Lepisosteus oculatus: one gene and its partners. The protein of the gene in region 3 purifies or fractionates together with the protein of the main gene of each other region. This does not show direct contact. Links are inferred from orthologs where the notes say so. Each region holds a gene or a part of one and is shown on either strand. Other genes may lie near its edges.

Region 1 (7,837 bases), on a different chromosome or scaffold from region 3:
TAAATACCAATTTGGGCTTAGAAAAGTCTTGGCCTCACTACAATTACATACAACCGCATCTAAAAAGAATTATTGCTGCAGCCATCCCAAATATTTCCACATCTCCACTACACATCGGCAGGGTAGTTCTAGACTCTCATCCAAGCTTTTGAGGAAGAATCACTTGGAAGAAGGGACTACATACCCAGTCCAGGGAGTCGGTGCTGAGTGTGTAGCTGGTGTCCTTCCACTCCTTCTCTCCAGTGGGTTGGAAGCTGACCTCTCGGACGGCAAAGATATCACTCTCCTCTTCTCCCTCGCCGTGGCCCACCTGGACAGCAAACCCGGCCCGTTAATACCGCAATTAATCGCTCCTTTGTTATACTTTATAGTCCCAGATGGGAAATTTGCTTTCCAAGTGGGTAACACAATACATTTAACAGAACACTAACCCATTAAGAGACATCCATGTATGATAAAAAGGGAAAAAAACAAAACAATATATATATATAGGTATTAAAATAAACAGTTAATTGACCAAATAACTGTGGGAATAAAAGATAACATAGTTCTATTGCACTTGATTCTATGATTATTTCAGGTGAGTCCATATGCGACACATGAAATAATCACCTGTGCAAACCATCAACAATGACTGTTCACTTTCTGAGCCATGTCAGCAACTCCTGTTGAGCCCAGTGTGAAGATCAGTGCCCATTCATGAATGACCAGGGCAGAGTACCGAGAGACCCACCTCATCTTCGGGATAATGGCAGTCAAACACCAAGGACTGGTTTGAAGCCTGTTTCGCCACCTCCACGACAAAGTTGGGTGTTGACACAATTTCAGGCTAGAAGAAACACAAGGGGAACAATCACATAAAGACCCTGGTTATATCCCAGTGCCCTTTATGAGAGAAGTCTACCACTCACGCCACCAAGACCTGGACTCTACACAGGCAGAACCAAGTGCACGCTCACCTCGTTTTCGGAGGGCTTCTGGCCCTGCTCTGGCTCCTCATCGAAGGTGGGTGGGATGCTGTTGTTGATGTTGAATGTGACCGACACCCTGCAGCGTTGAGAAAAGACAGAAGGAAATAATCAGCATCCTGGCAAGAGGTCAAAGCATTAATCTCAGCTTGAGGCAACTTAAGTCCTTGATAATATTTTGGCATTTATCTTCATCTTTGATGATCCCCATTCCCTGGGTTTTTCCCCATCCACCTGTTTCCCAGCTGCTGCTTCCTTAGGTGAGCAGGTGCCTATCCCAGCAAGCAACAGGTGCAAGGAGGGGAGCTCCCTGGATGGGACACAAGCCTATAACAGGGCACACACATTTTTCTCAGAGGACAATCAACCCACCAGTGTGTATGAGGAAACTCAAACACAAATGCGGGGAGAACACACGAACTTCACGCAGTATCACCCCAGGACTGGAATTGAACCCAGGGCCCCATTGACAGCAATGCTGCCCCCCCCCCAGCTTCTTTTAATGTCAAATCAATAGGCTGCTGCTTCTAGACTTCTTCCCATTTAATGATATTCAGGGTTTCCTGTGCTAAACTGCATAAAACCAATAACAGCATTTGATGCTGACTGTTAAGAAAGGTTTTTGGTGTTTTAGCCATAAGCCATGTTACTTCACCCACCCAGTAATTACAACTCATGACTGCCCAACGTGCATGACTTACAACACACAACTCTGAGGAGGAATTCTGACATTCAGATTCATCCACTGATGAATAGATTCTTCACTTAAATAGTCAACCAGCTGACTTCAGCCAGATCCTGAAAGGACAGACTGGTTTAACACCTAACTAAAGAGGTGGATTGTGTCGGTCGGAAGGATTAGACGGTGTATTGGATGACTCATCTGATATACAAGGGAAGGTCACATCAAGACACCCTAAAGGTGGAGAAATTGAAATCAAATGTCAATCTTAATCTTAATTGAAATGCAGTATGGCATGCGAAGAGTGGGGTTTAAATTATTCAATCATCATCCTTTTCGGGGAACAAATTGCCTTCCCGGGGCTGACTTTGTGTGCCATGAGGTTCTGAAGAAAGGGTTCAACATTTCTCTTACACTTCTCCAGCGATCTTCCTAGTTAGCTTGGCTTCGGTGCCTGTGAGTTCCAGCTCCCAGCCCCCAGACATCTTGGGCAGCGCTGTGTGCTTCTTAATCTTTTTCTCTTCTTTAATCTCATCTGACAGGAATTCTGCAAATGCCTTGTCTCCTGGCAAAGAAATGTGTTTCCGATTATGCATTGTTAGTTTTTTTTACACAGATACAGAGAAGGTACATCACTTAAGTTTTTTTTTATTTTCAATGTAAAACTATAAAGCATACAGTAGGAAACTACCGATCTTGCCATGAAGGTGTTTAGATGTATACACAATACTCATAATTACAGATGGACAGTGCATTGAATGTAATGCTTCACGCCTATAATCGAAATATTGCACAGAAGTCTGGAGTGCTCTTCACAGCGTGTATCACTCTACAGAAATAACATCAAGGGCATGTGTGTCGAAGCATCATTACAATTCAACGTCCCGGATTTATAAAACAAAAGGTTTTTCAAGTCCTTCTTCGACACTTCACTGATCATGTGGGGATACTGTAGCCCCGAATGTCAAACCGGAATTACCGTTTGCAAAACTCATTTTAATCTTCTTGAAGGCCGTTTTTGTCCATAACGTGATTGTAACAAAACCGGTTGAACGCTGTTTGTAAGAAACACATCTGGGTTAACGCACACGAGCAGCATCAATCGTCCCGGATATACCATCAGAGCCCCAGAATCCCACAATAATTCGCAGGATTATTTCTTTATGCTTACCTTCCGTGTGAAGTCCTCCGCAGCCGCACGACACCGATGGGATACCCCGACTACTGCTCAGCAACCCCGGCCTGTGTTCCGATGAGGAGCCGCTACTGCACAGCATCCAGATAGAGCGGGTGAAGGGCCGAGCTGTTGCCGAGCTGGGAGCGCCGACAGCCGGCCGGAGCAGAGGCTCCAGCACCCGGGTGGAAGAGGCGGCTGTGCTGGTGGAAATACGAGTGGCGACGCCGAGGGCCCGGGTAAGAGACTTCAACATGGTTTCAGACGACTAAGCTAGTATTGAAGAAGTTTGACTGAAATCGGAGGTCACCCCCAAAAAAGCGTGCGACGGAATACCCTTCTCCCACTGATCAGACTCAAACCGCTAAGAAACTACTGGAAACCACGTGTCGGCAGAAAGGACGCTCTGACCTCCTCCTTCGCAGTGACCTTTTACCTTTGAACTGGAAAAAGATGTCCGTGCGCTATTAAAATATGGTCGTAGAAACGCATTAAGTAGAATAACAGTTCCGTGCTCATCTTTCTACCTCTGGAGTGGCTGGAAACTATTTATCATTACTTTTCCAGAGAAATATCCTAAGAGCTTTTCACCCGGTGTTATGTGATTTTTTTTCCCTCAACACTTTTATTTTTATCTTACAATTTTTATAATTTTAAAATCTAACTACATTTAAAATTGTGCTATAAATAGTGCCCTTTTCTAATACAAATACATGTGTATTGTGGCAAAATGTATTCTAGACGAACCGTATTCTTCAACTGTGCAACACAGCCCGTGTCCTTGTTTGACCGGTAGTTTGGATTGTTTTTATCCCATGTTCCCTTTTTCCTGGAATGCTAGTTTGAAGTCTTAAAAATAATGGTAAAATTTGAACACTTACAAAATTTAAAGCAAACCGATTGACTTTCGATTCATACTTTGTGTATGAATAGTGTAACCGCTTAAGACGTTTATACTTTTGTGCGTAACCCTAGACTGTGTGGGTGCAGGTCTTCAGTTTTGCTCCCTGAAGTAGTAAGGGTGTGGTATAAAGGTGGTACTGTGCCTTATTTAAACTAGGGCAAGAATGAGCAATTCTGGTCTTCCAAGAGCGGTGTGTCTGCAGGTTTTCATGCTAACTCTACTCCTAATGACCTACAGTACATAATCAATCCTCAGATTCTGGTGACTTAGAACATCTTGCAGACACACTGGTCCCCCTGAGACAGCGCTTTCCGCCCATGAAGTTGGTCTGCACCCCACTTCCCACATTATTATTACATAAAAATTATTACATCATTACATCTGCTCGTCTTTAAGGATTTAGAGACTAAATGTGTGGGATGTGTGAGCTGTTAAGGAAGAACTTAAGAAGTTCATATACAGTACACATGCAACACATATAGAAAACAAATTCTACACCACATTGTGTAGAAATAGTCTTTATTATAAATATTTTATTTTACAAAGCCTTGTGTCACTCATACAATTCTGTGCCCATCAAAAGAACCTACTCAAAACACCCTTTGCACCAATATCTGCTCTGAGGCTTCTTAGCCAAATCCTCCCATTTACACAGAAAACCTTCTGAACTTGTGTATTTTCTTCAAGAGGACATTCACCGTATTTCCTTCTGTAAATAAAATAATGAAATACAACAGTAACAACTGATCATCTGTCCTTTTCCCCAGCCTTGCTGTGGAGCATCTATTATTCTCACAGCTCTCATGACGCACAAACCTAATACTCACATTTTATATTCTCGTCCTGAAAGTAGTTCATGTCATACTTGCTCTTGACTAAGCCCCTCTTAATCAGCATAAACAGCATAGTTGCAACACTGCTGTTGTTATGACGTTGTGTGACAAATCCTTAACCCTGAGCAAAAACGTGGACCCACACCCTGACAACCCTTTTGTTCTAAGGTACTGAAGAGCCCACTTTAAAACAACCTACAATAGCTCAAGCCTCGAGAATAACCTTTCTCTTTAATTATGGAAACAGAATATCACCTTAGAAAAAGTGGACTGAATTTGTCTGGAGCTTAATTACCTTGCTTAAAACTCAATTCCCTGTGTTGTTGTCTAATATAGGTTCATTTAACTACATTTAACAACTTATTATTTTCACTTCTAAAACATGCACTGCAAACCTACTGCTACTTTACATGGGTAAATCAGCAATTGCTCAACAGTGCTGGACAGATACAGAGGGAAGTGAACACTAATAAACTCACCTATTTAAGAACCAGAGTGATTTTCTACTGGACCAGTGAACATTAGTGTAACAGATCTTTACACCCGAAATGTGTGAAATGCTACAGTGGTGTAAAGCCACTGAAAAGCAATATGGCATGCGATTAAACTATGAGTGACTTCTATTAAAAGTATTACCTGCTTTCCCAGAAGTTAAATATTGAAATAACAAGCAATTTAAGAAAAATAATGGTCCACCAGTTTAATCTACAATTAATGTGCAATTGTTCCCTCAGCTAAATATGTCAAGTCTAGGGTGGAGGTCAAAGTGAAGGTTTATCATTCTTTCTGTGGGTAATTGTTAATGCCATATGACGTTAGCTTTAACATGGGTTATTTGAAAATCTGGCCATTGTTCACAAAGTTTCAGAGATCCAATTCTCAGGTTAAAGGGAGCACGTGAGACTAAATATTAAAATTGGCAAGATCACAGTGAAACTATGTGAAGAAATCCGTGTTGGTTAAGAAGAATCATAACACGATTTACAGAAAAAAATAAATCTATGCCTCCGTCCCCAAAAAACCTAGGTTATCCTGTGACTTGACTCCTCCCTGGGTTTTTTGCACTGTATCACTATAAAGAAAGGAGGAAACTGGTCATGTTCCAACCAGTATTTGTAATACCAGCAGCAGAAGGCTTGCTAGTCAAACCATGTAAGCATTTTAAGGCCAAATGATAGAATAAGTAAAGAGACTTCCATTAACAATGAGTTTTTCAGGAGATTTCCAACTTGTTGAAGATGCAGAACAGGTAGTGGAGGAATGAGATGATTCACAATAATATCTGCCATTGAAAGGTACAATAAATGCACATCTCTTTATTGCTCCACAGCTCAGCAGTCTGGCTGTGAAGCTAATCATATTCCTATTTTTATAGCAGTTGGGTGTTTCTTGAAACTGCCAGCAGTCAAATACAAAAGCAAGGTTGTGCCAGACACATGAGAACTGTGGAAAACCTACCACTGTGGGGCTCAGTTCTTTATAATTGACTGATCTATCACAGCAACAGCCCATCTCTTCCAGAAAAGAATACAAAAGGTCTCATTGCATGGCTGAATTCATTGTCCAGGCTGGTTCTTAAGTTAATATTCGGTTATCTGCTGATGATTTAGCCCTGAGAAAGAGAAAGGAAGAGTAAAAAAACAAGGGAAAGCTGAGAGGTGACAGAACAGAGTCAGTGGAGGTCAGACGTTGTCCGAGCAGGCTGAAACTGTGAGTCATTTCTAGAGTTGTCTTTGGAGACAACCCCACAGGTCCCAAACTCTCACCACAAACACCAGACTATCTTTGTCACATCCGTGATACAGTGAGTTTTCTCTCTAAGGCCAAATGTGTTGCATTCCACCAACTGATCTTGGAACAAAGATGCTGTGTAAGCAGGCATCTCATCCAGGGTGTACCCTGCCTTGAGCCTGTTGCTTGCTGGGATAGGCTCCAGTTCCAACACTAAACTGAACTGGAAGAATTGGTTAGAAAATGGATGGATGGATGGATGCTTTGTAATCCAACAGTGTATGCTACTCTGTTACCATAGACTGTTTTTGGGTGAATGTGGGGTGAAAACAAGATGCTGCCTTGAGATCTAGTGCACAAGTTGCCTCTTGGTCGGGGGGGTTAGCTCTTGATCGCCCGGAGTTTGCGGCGGAAGTACTCGGGCGCAGCTTCGTGGAGCCAGTCCGGGTCCACCAGGCAGAGGTCCCGCATGTAGCACTTGGAAGTGTGCAGGAGCTCGTTGAAGACCACACAGGCCGGCTTGGCCTGGAAGAGCACGGAGGAGGGGTGGATGGCCACAGGCTGGTGAGTGTCCAAGGTCATGTACGTCCCGTCAGGCTGCAGCTCGGCTGCGTTCGTGAACAGCCCGTGCGCCAGACAGCGGCGGACATTTCCCATATCGGAGCGAGAGGACTCGGGGGAAATTCCCAGCTGCGTGCAGGGGGATAAAAATCCGGGAAGTTAATCAGACATTATGATGACAGGGGTGAGGCCAAGCGCATCTTTTTAACTCAAACAGCAAAACCAAAACAGATTTCAAATAAAATGAATGTTTTTTTACCAAAATAATAACCCCTAAATAACACCTCCTAAATAAAGTCTCTGACACCAAACTGCTCTGCTCTATTTTAATACTTTGCATTATGAGGTGCCCAACTCTCTAGTCATCTCCTGGGCAACACCTTTCTTTTAATACATTTCATAACAGCCAGAGCCCTTTTGATTGGTGACCACACATCCACAAAGTCTCATACCTTCACACAGATCTCTCTCAGCTGACTGCGAACGTCTGTCACCAGAGACATATTCCTGCTGTTCACAAAGTTCTCTCGACACCAATCCTGCAAAACGCGAAGGGGAAAAAAATGTAAAAAGTAGAATGGAAAGACAGCTTGGCGATACATAATACTGCAGATCAGCTCCTGCCAACCCTTTCAATATTGGTTTTGCCAGTTTGCCCAAGAAAGGTGTATCTAAATCCTGTGGGTATTGGAACGTTTGAGGACGCCCCCACCTTATTTCCGCCCACGTTCTTGAAGCCCCTGTAGACGTTGAGCAGTGTCATGTGGTCTCCCTCACTGGAAATGAACTTCCTACGCCTGGAGTAGACCTCCTCCCTCCGGGCAGGGGGGTTATAGAGGACACTGTCCACTGACAGGAGGGACACGATCGTCAGCACCTCCTCCGTACAGGAGAAGTCCGCTGACAGCAGGATTGTCTGGAGAAAAACAGAAAAGGGTAAGAAAAAAACACCAGGCCCAATTGAAAGTCTAGTCTAGGAGTCAA
Region 2 (7,276 bases), on a different chromosome or scaffold from region 3:
CACAGTCCTCCACACGAGAGCCAGGAGGAACCCAGTGACAGACCACTGCACCGATCAGCTACCAAGCAGGACAGATGGACTGGACGGGCCCCACACACCTGTGTGTAAGGACCCAGTGCTTTCTCCTTTGGTCAGAATAAACCCCCAAAAGCACTCGGGTCTAAAGCCAGATCAATTCTGAGATAAGAGCACCCAGGGTCATCCCCCTCTCCCAAAAAAGAGCTGAAAACACCAATGGCACAGGGTCCAAGACCCCCACCCCCCCGCCCCACCCCAAGCGCAGAGGGCTTACCTCTCATGTTCATCCCTGCGCTCGCCATCTCCTGCTTCGACAGCGCTTTCCTCACCTCACAGTTGTGGCCGTTCACTGTGTGGTACTTCTGGACTGCGGAAGAGCGAGACAGGACAACGGTCAGAAACGGGGGGGGGGGGGCACGCCCCAAACCAGGGGTGCAGCACCACACCCACAAAACCCCCTCCCCCCCTAAATACCCAGAGCCAAGAAGCCAAAACAAAGACCCTTTTAAATCACACTCACACCCCGGCATAAGAACGTTCGGCACACGAGTTTTTGCCAATCTGAACATGAAGAGTTTGAGCGAACTTGTCCTCGGTTCGGAAAGGGTGGATTTATGATCTTCCGCCTTCCGAACAGATTCCCCATGAACGAATCAGGCTCGGATACCGGGGTACGGGTGTACATTGGAGAGGTACCGGCACACGTCGCTACAGTGGCCTGGCAGGCTCCCCCAGGGGCGCCACACCCCCCAGCACAAGGCCCGTCGCCCACCACACTTACTGACGATCCGGTCCACGGAGTCGTGGTCGTCGAAGGTGACGAAGGCGAAGCCCCTCTTCTTGCCGCTGGCCCGGTCGGTCATGATCTCGATGACCTCGATCTTGCCGAACTCGCTGAAGTAGTCGCGCAGGTGGTGCTCCTCTGTGTCCTCCTTGATGCCGCCCACGAAGATCTTCTTGACGGTCATGTGGGCGCCGGGCCGGGTCGAGTCCTGGGGGCAAGGAGACAAGGCGGGTCACGAGAGGAGGAGGAGGAGGCCGGGGGGTCAGTCCAGCCCCCTAGGGCAGCTACTGGCTTAAATCGACCCCATCCATCTGGGGGGTGGTGGGGTACCGGCTTCAATAACGTGGCTGAACAGCCTGTTCCCCACTCCCACCACTCTTTGGGTAAAACGGAACCCGCTGCCCCAATCAGAAGACTGAATGGATATTCTGCAGAGCCGAAAAGGAAGCCAGGAAACCAGCTTCAACATCAGTTCCCTCCTACCACCACCCTTTGCGCAAAGACGTTCCTCCTGTTCTGGCTCCGCAGTGCGGACAACAGGTCCCGCCGAGGACCGACGAGCCCCCCGCGTGTATCGGGGTGGCAGGCAGCGGCTCCACAGCTCTCTGGCGGGCCCTCGATCCGGAAACACTCTCCCCAACCCCAGGGAAAACAGGCAGCAGACTGGGGGGGGGGCTCACCTCTCTAGACACGGCGCGCTTGGGCTCCACCACCCTGCCATCCACCTTGTGGGGCCGGGCGTTCATGGCAGCGTCCACCTCCCGCACCGAGGAGTACGTCACGAAGCCGAACCCCCGGGACCGCTTCGTACTGGGGTCCCGCATCACCTGGGGGGAGAGAGAGAGGGGGGGTCACATCAGCACTGGAGGCAGAGGGGGAGAACTGCGCCGGGCCCCTTAAACTGAACCGGTTCCCCCCAAGCTTTAGGAAACCAATCAAAGTCACAGTGGTGGGGTCACCCAACCAGGGTCCCGGGCGGGACGCTGCCCTGAGCTCTGGGACTCACAGCCCACACAGATCACGGCCTGAGCTTTTAGTCCGCTCCCACTCGCGGCCGCCAGGCCTGACAAACACGCCCCCCCCCGCACAGCCAGGGCAAAGGGCAGGCGCTCCCCGCACCACAAACCGGCGCGTCCCGGGATCGTTTACACCCGCCCCCACACCGCGAGCACGGGGCCCGAGGGGGGGGGTCTCTCCTCTCCTTACCACGCAGTCCGTGAGCTGTCCCCATTGCTCGAAGTGGGCTCGCAGGCTCTCGTCCGTCGTCTCGAAGCTCAGCCCTCCGATGAAGAGCTTGCGCAGCTGTTCCGGTTCACGGGGGGCCTGCGGGGGAGAGCGGGGGTTAGAGGCAGGAAGCGCTGGGTAAGAGGCAGGCCGGACCCGCCGGTCACCCGAACCCGGCCGGAAACCCGCGACGATTGCACGCCCTGCAGAGCTTATACGCAAATGAAAACTTCCGGAGCGTGTCCTCCCACCCTCTTAGGGTTACACACACGTAGATCTGCTCCGCTCCGAATCAGCAACGCCAATTCCAGAACGCAGAAGCGAAGCGGCCCCAGGCCGGCGCGTGGGCACGCTAGCCAGCCCGCGTGAGCGCGGAAGGTTCCAGACCGGAGACAAAGGCCCTGGCAGGGCGCATGCGCGAGCTGCAGCCTACACTCACCGTCTCAATATTTACTAACACGGCCGCCCAGGCTCCACAAAACAGAGGAGCGCGTTTTAACAGCATCCCAGTCTTAATGCGGGAAATAAGCCGCATTGCACAGGTCTAACTGTTGTAAGAGCGATCTGGGACGACTGACCCAGGGCAGGACTTCCAAGGCCTGGGCGCCATGTTCGTTACACCAACAGGAAACAAAGAAATGGATCCGAGTCTTTTTTTCTTGGATTTGCAATATTTGTGTATATTCACCGATTAACGGTGTTCCCATTTGCTCCGGATACAGAACGCGGGTCGATGCTACAGCCACGCGAGACAAGCGTGTCTTTCTCCTGGGGAAAGACACACGATTTCGCTCGCAGGCGCGTGGCCTGCACACCCACCGCCCTCACGAAATGGCGGAGCGACAGATCGCACCTCACCAAAGACAGAAATAAAACACAGTAATGAACTAGAAAGACGGGAAATATACTACTGAAGTGAACAGTAACGATGTGCGTCTTCCCCCTTCCACAATTTCAGCAACAAACGAGCCACCGACTTATGAAAACACAGATGTCTTTTATAGCTACGACCTTTTACACCAATAAGCTTTAACTACCACGTTATTCAAAGCACGGGTATTTTGACTAAAAGGTCCTAAAAAACGCCTAGTAAGTTGCTTTAGTTTGAAGAAAAGCAAAAACTTACCTCCTTAGACATTACTACAAGATCTGTACCAGCACAGCGCCTCTTGCTGAAGGAACAAGGTCGAAAGAGCCCTTCTCACTGCTCAGGCTACTGAGTTATGAAGACGGTAAGTTCCGCCCACTGGCATCAGTGATTGGCTAAAAGTTCCCGCTGCAGCGCGGAGCTGGGAGAGTTGCTCAAAGCTCATTGGATAGAACTCTCGTCTATCTGGTCCTTCTAACCAATCGCAGAAATATTGTCGGAATAATCGCACCCCCCCCGTGTTGTGAAGTCGGAATCCGATTTGCTCCTCTTCCTGCCAATCATTGGGGAAGGCGTCCGAGCGATCGCGGAGAGAGCGGCCGGTGACGCAGTCGTGTTGTGGGGAGAAAAAGGATCCGCGTACTTGCGTGAATAAGGTGTCAATTAAATCAATAAAACATGAACATCGTCTTCATGAAATGTCCAAAGAAATCTGCCACCCAGCAATACTGGCCCATGCAACTGCATAAGCATGTCATTTTAGATGATTATTAGTGGTAGATGTATTACGTGAATTGTTACAGCAGCTATACAGAGAGCTAGGCTGTCGCTTTTTGCCAATAGGCACATTCTAAGCACTTTGAAAGTATGTTTTCCTATTATTTGTCACAGTAGTTTTTAGGTCTAATGAATACAACTCCTAACGTCAGAGATACAATTCCTAAACCCGAGACACATGGCTTGTTTGTATCAGCTAAACCTGCTTGTTTGGATTCAGAGGACCAGGGAAAATGGTCCTGGTCGAGATTTTGCATGAGATCTTGTTTTTCATCATCATCATTATCATTATTATTGTTGTTTGAAGCATTTTTATCATCCTGACGAGCGGGGAAAAGCCGTCTTCTTATCGCAGAAGGACCCCTTCAAAGCTCCCTGCGTGCGCGTGCGCGCTCCAGCTATTGTGTGTTTTTTTTTTGGCGCGCGCGTCTACGCAGTCAGGAGGAGAGTCGGAGAGGCGCTCGAGCTGCAGCTGCGGCGGCGGATTGGGTCGTAACGTTTTCTCTCCTGGATTCAGACGGTCTCTTCACCGACTGGGTGAGCCAAATTCTCGTTCAGTTCGCACCAGCGAAGAGCTGGAGGGGTAGGCTACTCTGCGCTATGTTAACGAAAACGTGCGAAAGAGAGTTTTTATGGTGGGCGGGGGGGGTCGATTTGAACGTTTCTTCGTTCACGTCTCTTATGTGAAAGCGGCGGGATTGAAAGAAACAAGATGGGGGGGGAGGAGGAGGTAGGTGGGTGGGGTCGTGTTGGGCCGAGCGGAAGAGCGACATTGATTGACAGTCGCCTCGGCCACTCAGAGAGGCGGCTTCCCTGCGTTGGCGGGGTCGCTGCACCAAGCGTACAAATCACAGACGCGTCAGGTAGGAGGGACTTCCTGTGCCAGGGTGATTTGCGTTACGGCCATGTGTGTTTGTATTGCAAATTGGGGTTATAAACTGGGATTTACAGGAGAAGGTGGGTTTCACAACAGATAACGCATGGAGTCTACTTTTATAAAAAAAACAACTGTGTGCAGCGATTCAGTTTGCCTGGTGAATGGCGATTTTTGTAGATAAGCGGTGCTGCTCTCTGCCCCCACCCCCTGTCTTGTCTCTCTGTGTGAATTCATTCGGAGCTCCCGGAGCCCGGCATGCTTCTCCAGAGTAAAATCTGGGGAAAAAAAATAAATCTCGCCCCGTCTCTCTCAAGACGATAAGGCTGTGAATGGAGCGGAACCTTTAGTGAGAGTGTTGTGACGAGCATTGCACGCCTCCCAACCGGTGTTGTGACTTGAAATCGGGTTGCCTGGGTTTGGGACTGAACGTTATGCTGAGTTCTGCTTGCAAACTTGTGCTGGCGTTTTTTTTTACCAGGAAAATGACCCCCCACCCCCACCCCGTGCCAACAGACGCGTACGGTGTAAAAGCCTTTAAAAGGAATGCCCTTTCCTTGCTCACGGTGAAAGCTCAACGCTCTCCTTAAATCTCGGGCGCGCTCACAAGACGAGGGAATTAAACCTCCCCTTGGAACACAAAAAACAAACGGGTGCCGGTGTCTCTCGGTAAGATAAGAGACTGGTGTGTGTGAATCCAAGCCCTCCGGCAAACTTCTTTAAGGTCCCGAGTGGAGAGGAGCCGGAAACGCACAGCTCTGTGATTTTGTGTTTGTCACATGCGCAGGCCGGGTTGGCGGTGCGCATCTTGCAAATCGGTAACAGGGACCGATCACCCCCATTGAAAGAATCAAGCAGCGACAATTTTTTTAATGTAGGTCATCAAAGAGTGGCGCCGATCCCCGCATCTGGGGGGTATGATGGGCTTTAGCGACGGCAGCGGGCATCGCAGTTTAAACCGCGGAGCGCCCCTGACGCCGCTTCTGTGGGTGTGCGAAAGTGTTACTCATCGGACGCGGTCAGGTAGCTCCCAGATCGGGAGACTGTTCCCCCCGGGCTCGATCGGGAAGCCTTCCGCTTCCAGTTCAGGATTTCCAGCCGTCGCGGGCGAGTTCAGCTCCGGGTCTGGCGGACACGGGGTCTGCGAGGGAGTGGGGTCGCGACTGAAGTCAGCGCTGGCGAGAGCATTCGTGGCACTTTCTGAAAAAAGGATAAAGACCTTGTAGGGGAGCGTAGAGCCCGATAATCTCACGGGGGAGATTGATGAATCTCCCCCACCCCCACCCATTGATGGATCCGGAGGAACCGGTTTTGGATTGATTGCTGACGAGTCTGATGAAAGTATCCCCACCCCGTGCAATATTACCAGCGTTGTTTTTCTGAATGTTGGTCAAAATGTGTATCACGCTGCACGTCCACGTGCTACAACCCCCCCACCGGGGGATCCACACGCATCGTGGAGAGCCAGGCTCTCGCACCGCACGGCCGAGGTGCGTCTTCGGCTCCTGCATCTCGTGCACTTTTTTTTTTGTAAACACTTCAAACACGTACAGGACAACAACAACAAAAACATGTCTATCCAGGTGAGAAAAGGGGGAGCTGGATTAACTGGAGAGATGCGCAAGTGAGTGTTAAAAGCGATAGGCTGATTCATGCATATTCATGCTTGCCGATCTGGGAAGAGCGCTTTAACTCTTTGGCGTCTTGTTTCCCCACTGATAGGCAAGCTAGTCAAAGTAATCAGCTGGATCAAAGGAAGCAGCTGTAAGAATCGCCATCAGCAGAGAACAGGGGTGGGGGGATCCTTTCAGTGTAACACAGGGGCTTCCTTTCCTGTCATTGTTCTGTGGGCAAGACGCCACCTTCAGATGGCAGAACCTGCCGCGCGTGGTTACCCCTTTCAGAAGCCCTTCGGGGCAGCGGTGTGGAGCGGCCGGCCGGGGCTCTGGACTCCTGACCTGTGGCCACGGGTTCGAGGCCGCGAGCGCGAGACTCTGCAGTCATCCCCCCCCCCCCCCCGATCCCTCCAGTGAAACGGCCGGCCGTGCAGAATAGGGCGAATTGGACTCTGCTTGGTGGAAGAGCCTCCGCGGAATGAATCCTAGCCTTGTCCCGAAGTTCGCAGCTCTCCCAGATGAAGTCCGCGTGGCGTGCTTTTTAAGGAGTATTCTCCTCCTTGCGCGAAAGCAGTCGAAGGCGTTTTCCTCCCTGATTGTCCCAGACCTTCTTGCATTCGTCTCTGTAGCAGCCCCAGGCTCTGAATTGTCTTTTCTCACCTTTTTCTTCCAGGCAGCAGCTGGACTTGAGCTCTTCCTGTGGGGGCACTGACACCCCTGGAACTGTTCTCCGTTGTTGGCACAGACCACAGTCTTCAGGCCTGGAGGATTTGCAGTAAGTGCGCAAGGCTTAGGCCAGCTCTTTAACCACCTGTTCAACAAGCATGGAGGGAAACTCACCCGCTGTAGAAATGTGTATTCTCCCATGCTCCAGCCTGTGATTTGCATTTCTGATTGGACAGGATCGGCCATCAGCTCCCTCATTGTGGCCGCAGCTGAGAGAGACTACTTTTTAAACATGAAACTGCACATGTACCATACATTCATATATATATATACATACAGGATTTTTAAAAGGGAACACGTTTTCAGGGAAATGTAGTGCTTCGCTGCATTATTGTCCAAGGGTGGTAACAGCCGTTTTGCCATTGTGTGTTTTTATGATGGGGAATTGT
Region 3 (7,343 bases):
GTGCAATTATTGGGCGAGATCAATCGATGTGTAGCCATCGGCTAAAGCTGATTAAACTGTAACAGAAATGGGACAAGCATCTACAAAAATGTGTATGTTACACAACCATTAACATTAGCGTTCAAGACTTTTTCAATTTGCATATTTTTCCAACTGCGAACAAATCCTATTCCATTTCCTTGTCCTAGATCAAACACCAAAGGGAAGGGTTTTGCAGTGCAGCTTGCTATATATCTGTGGCCATCTTCCTTTCAGAACAACAATGCAGAATGAAGATTAATCAAAATCACAAAAGCCCAGATGGGCAATGGTAAAGTGATGTGCTCTCTAAACACAATCACGACAGTAAACACAAAGGAATTATGCAAGAGTCTGCAGGCAACTTGGGACACAATTCTAATTAAAAAAATGATTCTTTTTGAAGATACTGCATCAAGGGGTGCATGGGACGAGGCAGCTAAACACAAATTGTGTAACTGTACAATGCTTAGCAGCACCCATGTGATTATCCATTGCTGTGTTAAAATAAAGCACTCAGTTTTAAGGGTTTCTATGGAAAACTTTACGAGTCTTCGTTCGCCTTACCCATAACAGCTTGGATGTAAACAAAAGTTTAAGATGAACAGGATTATTTAGTACAAAACAAGCTAAAATATGCAAAGCTATTTAAGAACCATATTATCACAACAAATTAAGAACACACAAAAGATGTGGAGGATCAGATATCATATCAACCTCCCCAGTTCATTCCATTCCCCCTACTCAGTGCAGTTACAACTGTTACTCTATTGCGAAGACATAGTTTCACCCACTTGTGATCTACAAAGGCAACATTTTCATGATGCAGAATTTGAACAAGCTGTTAAAAGCTCGAGAAATGTTAAGTACCAAACGTCTTTCCGACACCCAGTTAAGGAACAGAAAGTCCGTCTTCTGCCAAAATCTGCCTTGTGTCACTAACGGGGGAATTTTAAAGTATTTTCTACCAACTGGGTAGTTCATCGCGTTTGAGTCAACGGATAAATGTTAATTAAAAGAAACATGCAATAATAGATCTAACGGGTTTTTTTATATAACGTACAATATCCTTAACCAGTGTTAGTGCTTCAAGTTAACATGTGCAGACTACCAGTCTCAACAAAATTGAGATTCCAGCCCTGAAACTGGAATCAGCCCCCAAACTCCGTAACTGTTCACATATCCGTATACATTTACTGCGTATTTTGAAAACAAAAACGTTATGCATCTTAATATTAACACATTAATTTACACTCCAGAGTAGGCAGCTAACCGTCTGCTCCACTATCACAGCAAAGTAAAAAACAAATTACTGGGTTAGCCTAGTTTAAAAATCATTCTAAATATTTAGGAATTTCTAAAAAAAAAAACACCACCACCAACACTTAAAGCAGTGTATTCACCTTACGTTTCACACGCCTGTTCATCAGCTATTAACACAGACATAGCAAAGTGACCCGACCCTAAAGTGATATAAACTGTAGCAGTTGTGTTGGGTCTGCAAATTTCTCCCCCAAAGCAGCTGAATCCGCTCCCCACCTCTGAACACGCACGGCGCCAGCCCGTCCTCCTGTGAAATTAATGGCCTCTGGTCGCCGTCAATGAAATAAAACGGGGCAAGGTCCACACGGATCTAAGGCCAGTTTCGCCGTCCTCCCCTTGGCGTGAACACCGCGCAGCGCTGCTCGCCTGGCGGTTCCTAACGCGCGTCGGGGTGGGCGCACAACAGGCCCGTGGGTGTGGAATACGTTAACACCGCGGGTTTAAAAAGAAAAACAAAACTAACACACACACACACAAATCGCGTTTGGCCGAAGGAGCCTCGGGAGAGGGGCTGCGCCGCGCCGAGCTCCATCTGCATTGCAGGGCCACGGCCGGCGAGATGGGCGTTGTGGTGTTTCTTTCACCCTTTGCCACTTCCAGCTCGATTGTCCTCGGGTACGTGTGCGATACCCATGTTGCCCCCCCCACCACCACCAAAAAAAAAAAAAAAAGAAACGTGCACTTTTTTTTTTAAAGGAAACAGCCGTTCAACGTCAGCTGGTCCAATTCAGGGTTCATTAGCCACATATTTGATCTTTTCTTTTTTTTTTTTTACCTTTTGCCTCAGGAGTTCCGCGTCCGAAGTGTCAGAAAGAAGTATCTCGTTTAGTTGCTACAGCCCTTCCTTCTGTAACGATACAGGCATCTTTGGCTTCAGTCTTTTTTTAAAAACGTGACTCGGGTCTTCATCGCGCCGAATGTAAAAAAAAAACCAAAAACCCCCCTCAAACGATAGAAACTGCGGACGGCACACAAAAATCAATTAAACTTTTCTTTTTGGTTCCTTGTTCGGCCTGACGCCTGCCTGCCCTCAGACAAAACTGGGCGGATACTTCACATCCGAGAGCTCATTTCAAACACCACTCACTTACCCAGAAAGCAAATGGGGAGAGGCCAGGAAGGAGTCCGGCTTGCTCGCTCGGTTTCTCTCCTCGGGTTTCCTTCCTTCGCGGCGTTTTCGGAATTATTTCACCATTATTCTTTCAGACTGGACGGGGAGCTAAGACACCACAAGACGAGGAGTCCCGCATTAGCCCCAGCCCTCCCGGCGGTGCAGTTAAACCAGTCCCAGTTCACACAGACCGCTTCACTACTCCCAAGGACTGGCAGAGGGCGTTACAGGCGATTACAATTTGTGAAACGAGACCTAAAAATAGAAATCCAGTATCTGCAACGAGTCCCGACTTAAAACATCGCTTATCGAGAAAACAAGAGGCTTAAACGCACGTCTCTGAATTTGTGCGTTTATTATTATGATAATAATAGGATGTCAAGAATAATACATGCTTTTACTCTTGTGAAACGGCTGACTTGTTCAAGGGAGCTCCCCCCTCATTTGTACGGAGTACGGCTAAACCATACCTCATGGGAAAACAACGTGGCTTGAAACAACACTTTAAATGACAAAAGCAGGGCAAGGTACGTTTCAGAAAGTGAAAAGACGCGATTTTCTACCCCACTTACCAAAACGCACAACTGTATGTAACGATTTTACTAGGCTAGAGCACAAGCAATTCCCAGCCACCTCTAACCTCTGCCAAATCTGTGTAAACACTGAACAGACCAGCAGCAGCAGCACAGCTTAAATAGGCTCTATAAATACACTGCTTATGCGCTTTAACTACGTCACCGCCGAGAAGGTGTCTGATTTGGCGTTTCTCTGTCAGTTACGCAATGCCCGGATGACGTCAGTACACACCGTAGCAATGTATTATTGCAAATCTTTACAGTGTGTGAACTGCGGTGAACCTGTCTGTGAGATATTAACCCTGCCCTGGACGAATAATGGCAGGAGGCGTTAAATAGCACATGATGATCAACCGAGATACTCTTTTTCTAACCTCTTAACCATTAATCTTTCCTTTGCATGAATTTCGATACACAAACACCTGCATTTTTTAATCGCTAATTTAGTATATTGTATTATTTTTCGATTGCAAGGTGGAACTGGGAATTTTTTGCTACCATAGCACCGCAAGAATTCTTTAAAGGGTAAAATATGATTTCTCTCTATTAGAAGGTACAGTGAGAGAAAATACCCTGTTCAATGGCAGTCCTTACCGATATGCAGTGAGCCAGGTGAGTCTAGACCCTGGGCAGGTCACTGAAGAAAACCCATGTGGAAAAACTGTAGGGAGAACATGCAAACACCACACAGAAGGTCCCTCAGATCCTAATTGAAACCAGGACTAGTGACACAATACTGCTGACCACCACATCACCATGTCACCTGTGTTAGATAGAAATCCCTAATACCTATTGCATGCAATTTGACCCTGCATGTTGTAAAGCAGTGACTGAGCTTTTCAAAATAGTCAAGTTGTTGAACCTGTGAAATATCTGGTTAGAAGTGAATTTAGAGAAAACTGAATCAAAACCTTGCCTTTTCCTTTACATTTTCTATCTGGGCTCTCAACATCGCAGATTAGTGATTGTGGAGTAACTTTAAGTCTTGGAATTTGCGGGGTGCTATTCAGTTCCTACCTCTGCAAGAGATAAGTCCACTGAGCTCACAGGCACTCTTTCTGATATGGTCTGGTTTCTGTCTTTTCATCTCTATTCTTCATTGGAATGCAGTTATGTGCTAAGCTGCACTGTCTAATTATCCCCCCTTGTGGCAAAATTATTTGACTTTTTTTTTGCTGCTTTCCAGTGGATGACATTCACCCTTGCCCATGCTTTTCCTCAAGGAGTGTGCAAATTCCATTTCTGAAACACGCAAAGGGACAAAATGCCTTCATAGCCATGCTATACGTTTAATAGAAAACACATCACTTCATATTGGAATCAAAATGCTGATCTGCAGTGTCTTTATTCTGCTGGAAAGCATATGGCGTGGTTCCTATACATAAGTCAGCCTGCATTCGACATACTGCACTGCACTACTTGGACATAATGTATTGCATACAGCCTGGACACATCACAGCTCTATTTATATTGAGCTCTGTCTGAGTTTATTTTATTCCATTTCTATTGCACAAGTATGTATTATTATGTAGCCTTATTTTATAACGTTAATTTTGTGATTTTTACCCCCTCCCCTCCAGTGAGCGTGCAGAAAAGACATTTCATTGCCAGCAACTACTGCTGCACACTTTATTGTTGTGCATTTGATACATAAATGTTGATTGATTGACAGCACAGTATCCACATGTGGATTGTACAGAGTGTGCAATATCTACACTCGTCTTCAAACACATAAGCCACACTCACCCATTCTTGCAAGGTGTCAGGGTGAAAGAGTGTCACTTTCAATAATGTGAGTGTGTAGTCTGTTCAGGTCATTTTGTGTGATCCTAAGTTCCTCAAAAAGTATTCAATAAAGAGAAAATGTTCAACTCTAAATGCACTTCTTCCTACAAATTTTAATTTGTGCACTTGCTTCATTTTTGGGGTCAAATAATGCCATTAGAATTGCTTTGTAAACACCTTTCCGCTGCTGTTGTTGTGGTTCACAAAGTTTCAATAACAACAATACACTTAAATAATAATAAATACATTTTAAATCCCAGAAAGGGTAAGAACATCAGAAAAGTTGTAAACGACTGGAAGCCATGCAGACCATGTAGCCCACCTGGATGCTACTTAACTGATCTAAGGATCTCTTCGAGCTCTTTGTTGAAAAAGAATGTATCAGCTTCAACAACATGGCTGGGCACAGCAGCTTCTGAGTAAAAAAGAGCCCTCCTGTTCTCAGTTTTAGATGCACTTCCATGTAGTTTTCTCACATGTCCACTCGTTTGTTCTTCACTGTTTTGTGAAGAAGTCCTGAGTTGACTTTATCAGTGTCATTAAGGATTTTGACCAGGTCTGCTCTCATCAAGATATTAAAGGTGGTGGGGTTGTGGTGCAGTGTGGCGTGGTGGCTCTGTGGTTAAGGATCCGTGCCTGTGGCTGGATGGGTGCTGGTTCGTATCTTGTAGCTGGCAGAGGAATCCTACTCTGTTGGGGCCCTGAGCAAGGCCCTTTACCCCAACTGCTCCAGTGGTGCTATATAAATGGCTGACCCTGCAGTGTGACCCCGAGGTTCTCTCCCTGTCTGTGTGTCTCATGGAGAGCAAGTTGGGGTATGTGAAAAGACAAATTCCTAATGCAAGAAATTGTATATGGCCAATAAATTGATCTTATCTTCATCTGAAGGCTTTTTTCCTTCAGCCCATCAGCCCATCAGTGCAAGGCATTCATTTTAGCCCTGGAAGGGTTATGGACTAATTCCAGAGCAGCAAAATCTTTTTGTACCATGTTTAAGAATTCTATGACAACGTTTTAAAGAATATTTACTAGTGGACAAACGTCACATAACATCACCAGATTTCATTTCTAGGTTTTTCATGACATATCCTAATATTCTGTTTCTATTGCCTGTCTATATTTGTCTACAAGATGTTTCAGAACCAAATGTCTTTTCATTCATTTAAAGCTTGTGTACAATATCAATATAACATCGTACAACTTTAAAAACCTAGATGTTTAATGAGGTGTTTTGAATTCTTGACTCCCTTTGCTTATTATCAATGATTTGAAGTGATATTAAGTCATTTCACTTTGAAGTGAAATTAGGTGCATGAGAGGAGAAGCCCAGTTCATTAAAATAAATGAATACTGCTTCAACGTTGAAAACAGCATTTATTGTACTTACAGGCCTACTGGAATAGCAATGCCAGAAATTATTTTAAGCATTTTTTGTATGAGATAATGAGATTAATATGAATGATAAGTACAATATAAATGTGTTTGATCGTAATAAAACAGAAACATACTTTGTGCTCAACCCAGTGATTTCAAGTGACCATGCAGTTAGTACCGAGATATTAAAATGCTCCTTTGAGGCAATAATTGGTCTAAACTTTTAGGTTGTATTGGCCTTGTGTTCTGGTTCGATGTCTTTCTGCATCGTGAAGTGCTGCCCAATATGTATGGAATCATTTCTTCTACCTAAGCAGACAAAATGTTTCTGTAAACTTCAGAATTCGCTCTGTTGCTGTCATTAGGTACATAATCAAAAAAATGAGTGAGCCAGTTCTGCAGGTGGTATCCCCACTACCTCCACCATGCTTCACAGATGAGACCATAATCTTCAGAGAATCTACGGTTACTTTTTTCCACTTTTTATAACTTTCTATCATTATGTTAAAAAGTTCATCACAACTTTGTTACAAGACTCATGCCTCATCTTTTTACTTCTGAGTAAAATATAATCTGTCTTTTTTTGGTCTTGATACTGATGAGTGATTTACATGTGGCTTAGGCTTTGTAATTCTGCTTTCCTACAAACTGTAACTGTGATACCTTCTCCCCTGGACTCTGCAGACTGCCAGCAATTTCACTAAAGGCTGTTAAAGGGTTTTTCTTGAGAGCTCTGATGATTTTTCCATTAACAAATTGCACATATTTGTCTTGGCTGACTTCTTCTTTGCTAATTGGTAATTAAACCCATGGTCTGTTTCTTCAGTAGATTCTACAGTACATTGTGAATTTTGGTGTGCCCATTATTGTTTCAAATATTGACTTTAAAATGCTGATTCCAAACATTGACAGCCAAGCAAAATACAGTAGTATAATAAGATGTTCACAGTTCTGTTATGAGCCTAATTGCCCAACAGCTTACAGCTGACCAACAAGAGACACCAGCCTGCCAGTTGTTCCAATACTTTTTTCTCCTTCAAATTAAAGGGGTTCAACGAGGTTCTAATCAACAGCTATGTCATCCTACAACCCATAACTGATAGCCCACTGCTGCTAAGCAGGTGTGAGCTTGGTCAGTACTTGGATGGAGACCTCCT

Evidence for each region. Proteins that work in one complex are often made in the same cells at the same time.
Region 1: the proteins of kras (region 3) and c1qbp purify together in Homo sapiens (affinity purification with mass spectrometry; 3 studies listed by BioGRID and IntAct, with this or other methods). This does not show direct contact. The link is inferred for Lepisosteus oculatus from reciprocal best matches to the Homo sapiens genes KRAS and C1QBP.
Region 2: the proteins of kras (region 3) and hnrnpa1b purify together in Homo sapiens (affinity purification with mass spectrometry; 3 studies listed by BioGRID and IntAct, with this or other methods). This does not show direct contact. The link is inferred for Lepisosteus oculatus from reciprocal best matches to the Homo sapiens genes KRAS and HNRNPA1.

The regions. Positions count from the first base shown.
Region 1 is NC_090721.1:3,224,825-3,232,661, reverse strand, and holds the start of c1qbp (complement component 1 Q subcomponent-binding protein, mitochondrial), read right to left. Parts: upstream 3,262-7,837; 5' UTR 3,081-3,261; coding exon 2,822-3,080; intron 2,216-2,821; coding exon 2,065-2,215; intron 1,048-2,064; coding exon 960-1,047; intron 830-959; coding exon 734-829; intron 311-733; coding exon 185-310; intron 1-184. Other genes in the region: ATP-dependent RNA helicase DHX33, read right to left, coding at 6,674-6,982, 7,306-7,392, 7,566-7,769.
Region 2 is NC_090696.1:19,466,768-19,474,043, reverse strand, and holds the start of hnrnpa1b (heterogeneous nuclear ribonucleoprotein A1b), read right to left. Parts: upstream 3,262-7,276; 5' UTR 3,165-3,261; coding exon 3,153-3,164; intron 2,126-3,152; coding exon 2,009-2,125; intron 1,630-2,008; coding exon 1,483-1,629; intron 1,011-1,482; coding exon 800-1,010; intron 386-799; coding exon 293-385; intron 1-292. UniProt on the Homo sapiens protein: Involved in the packaging of pre-mRNA into hnRNP particles, transport of poly(A) mRNA from the nucleus to the cytoplasm and modulation of splice site selection.
Region 3 is NC_090702.1:51,787,937-51,795,279, forward strand, and holds the start of kras (GTPase KRas), read right to left. Parts: upstream 3,115-7,343; 5' UTR 3,025-3,114; intron 2,708-3,024; 5' UTR 2,433-2,707; intron 2,245-2,432; 5' UTR 2,117-2,244; intron 1,978-2,116; exon of another isoform or gene 1,558-1,977; intron 1-1,557. UniProt on the Homo sapiens protein: Ras proteins bind GDP/GTP and possess intrinsic GTPase activity. Plays an important role in the regulation of cell proliferation.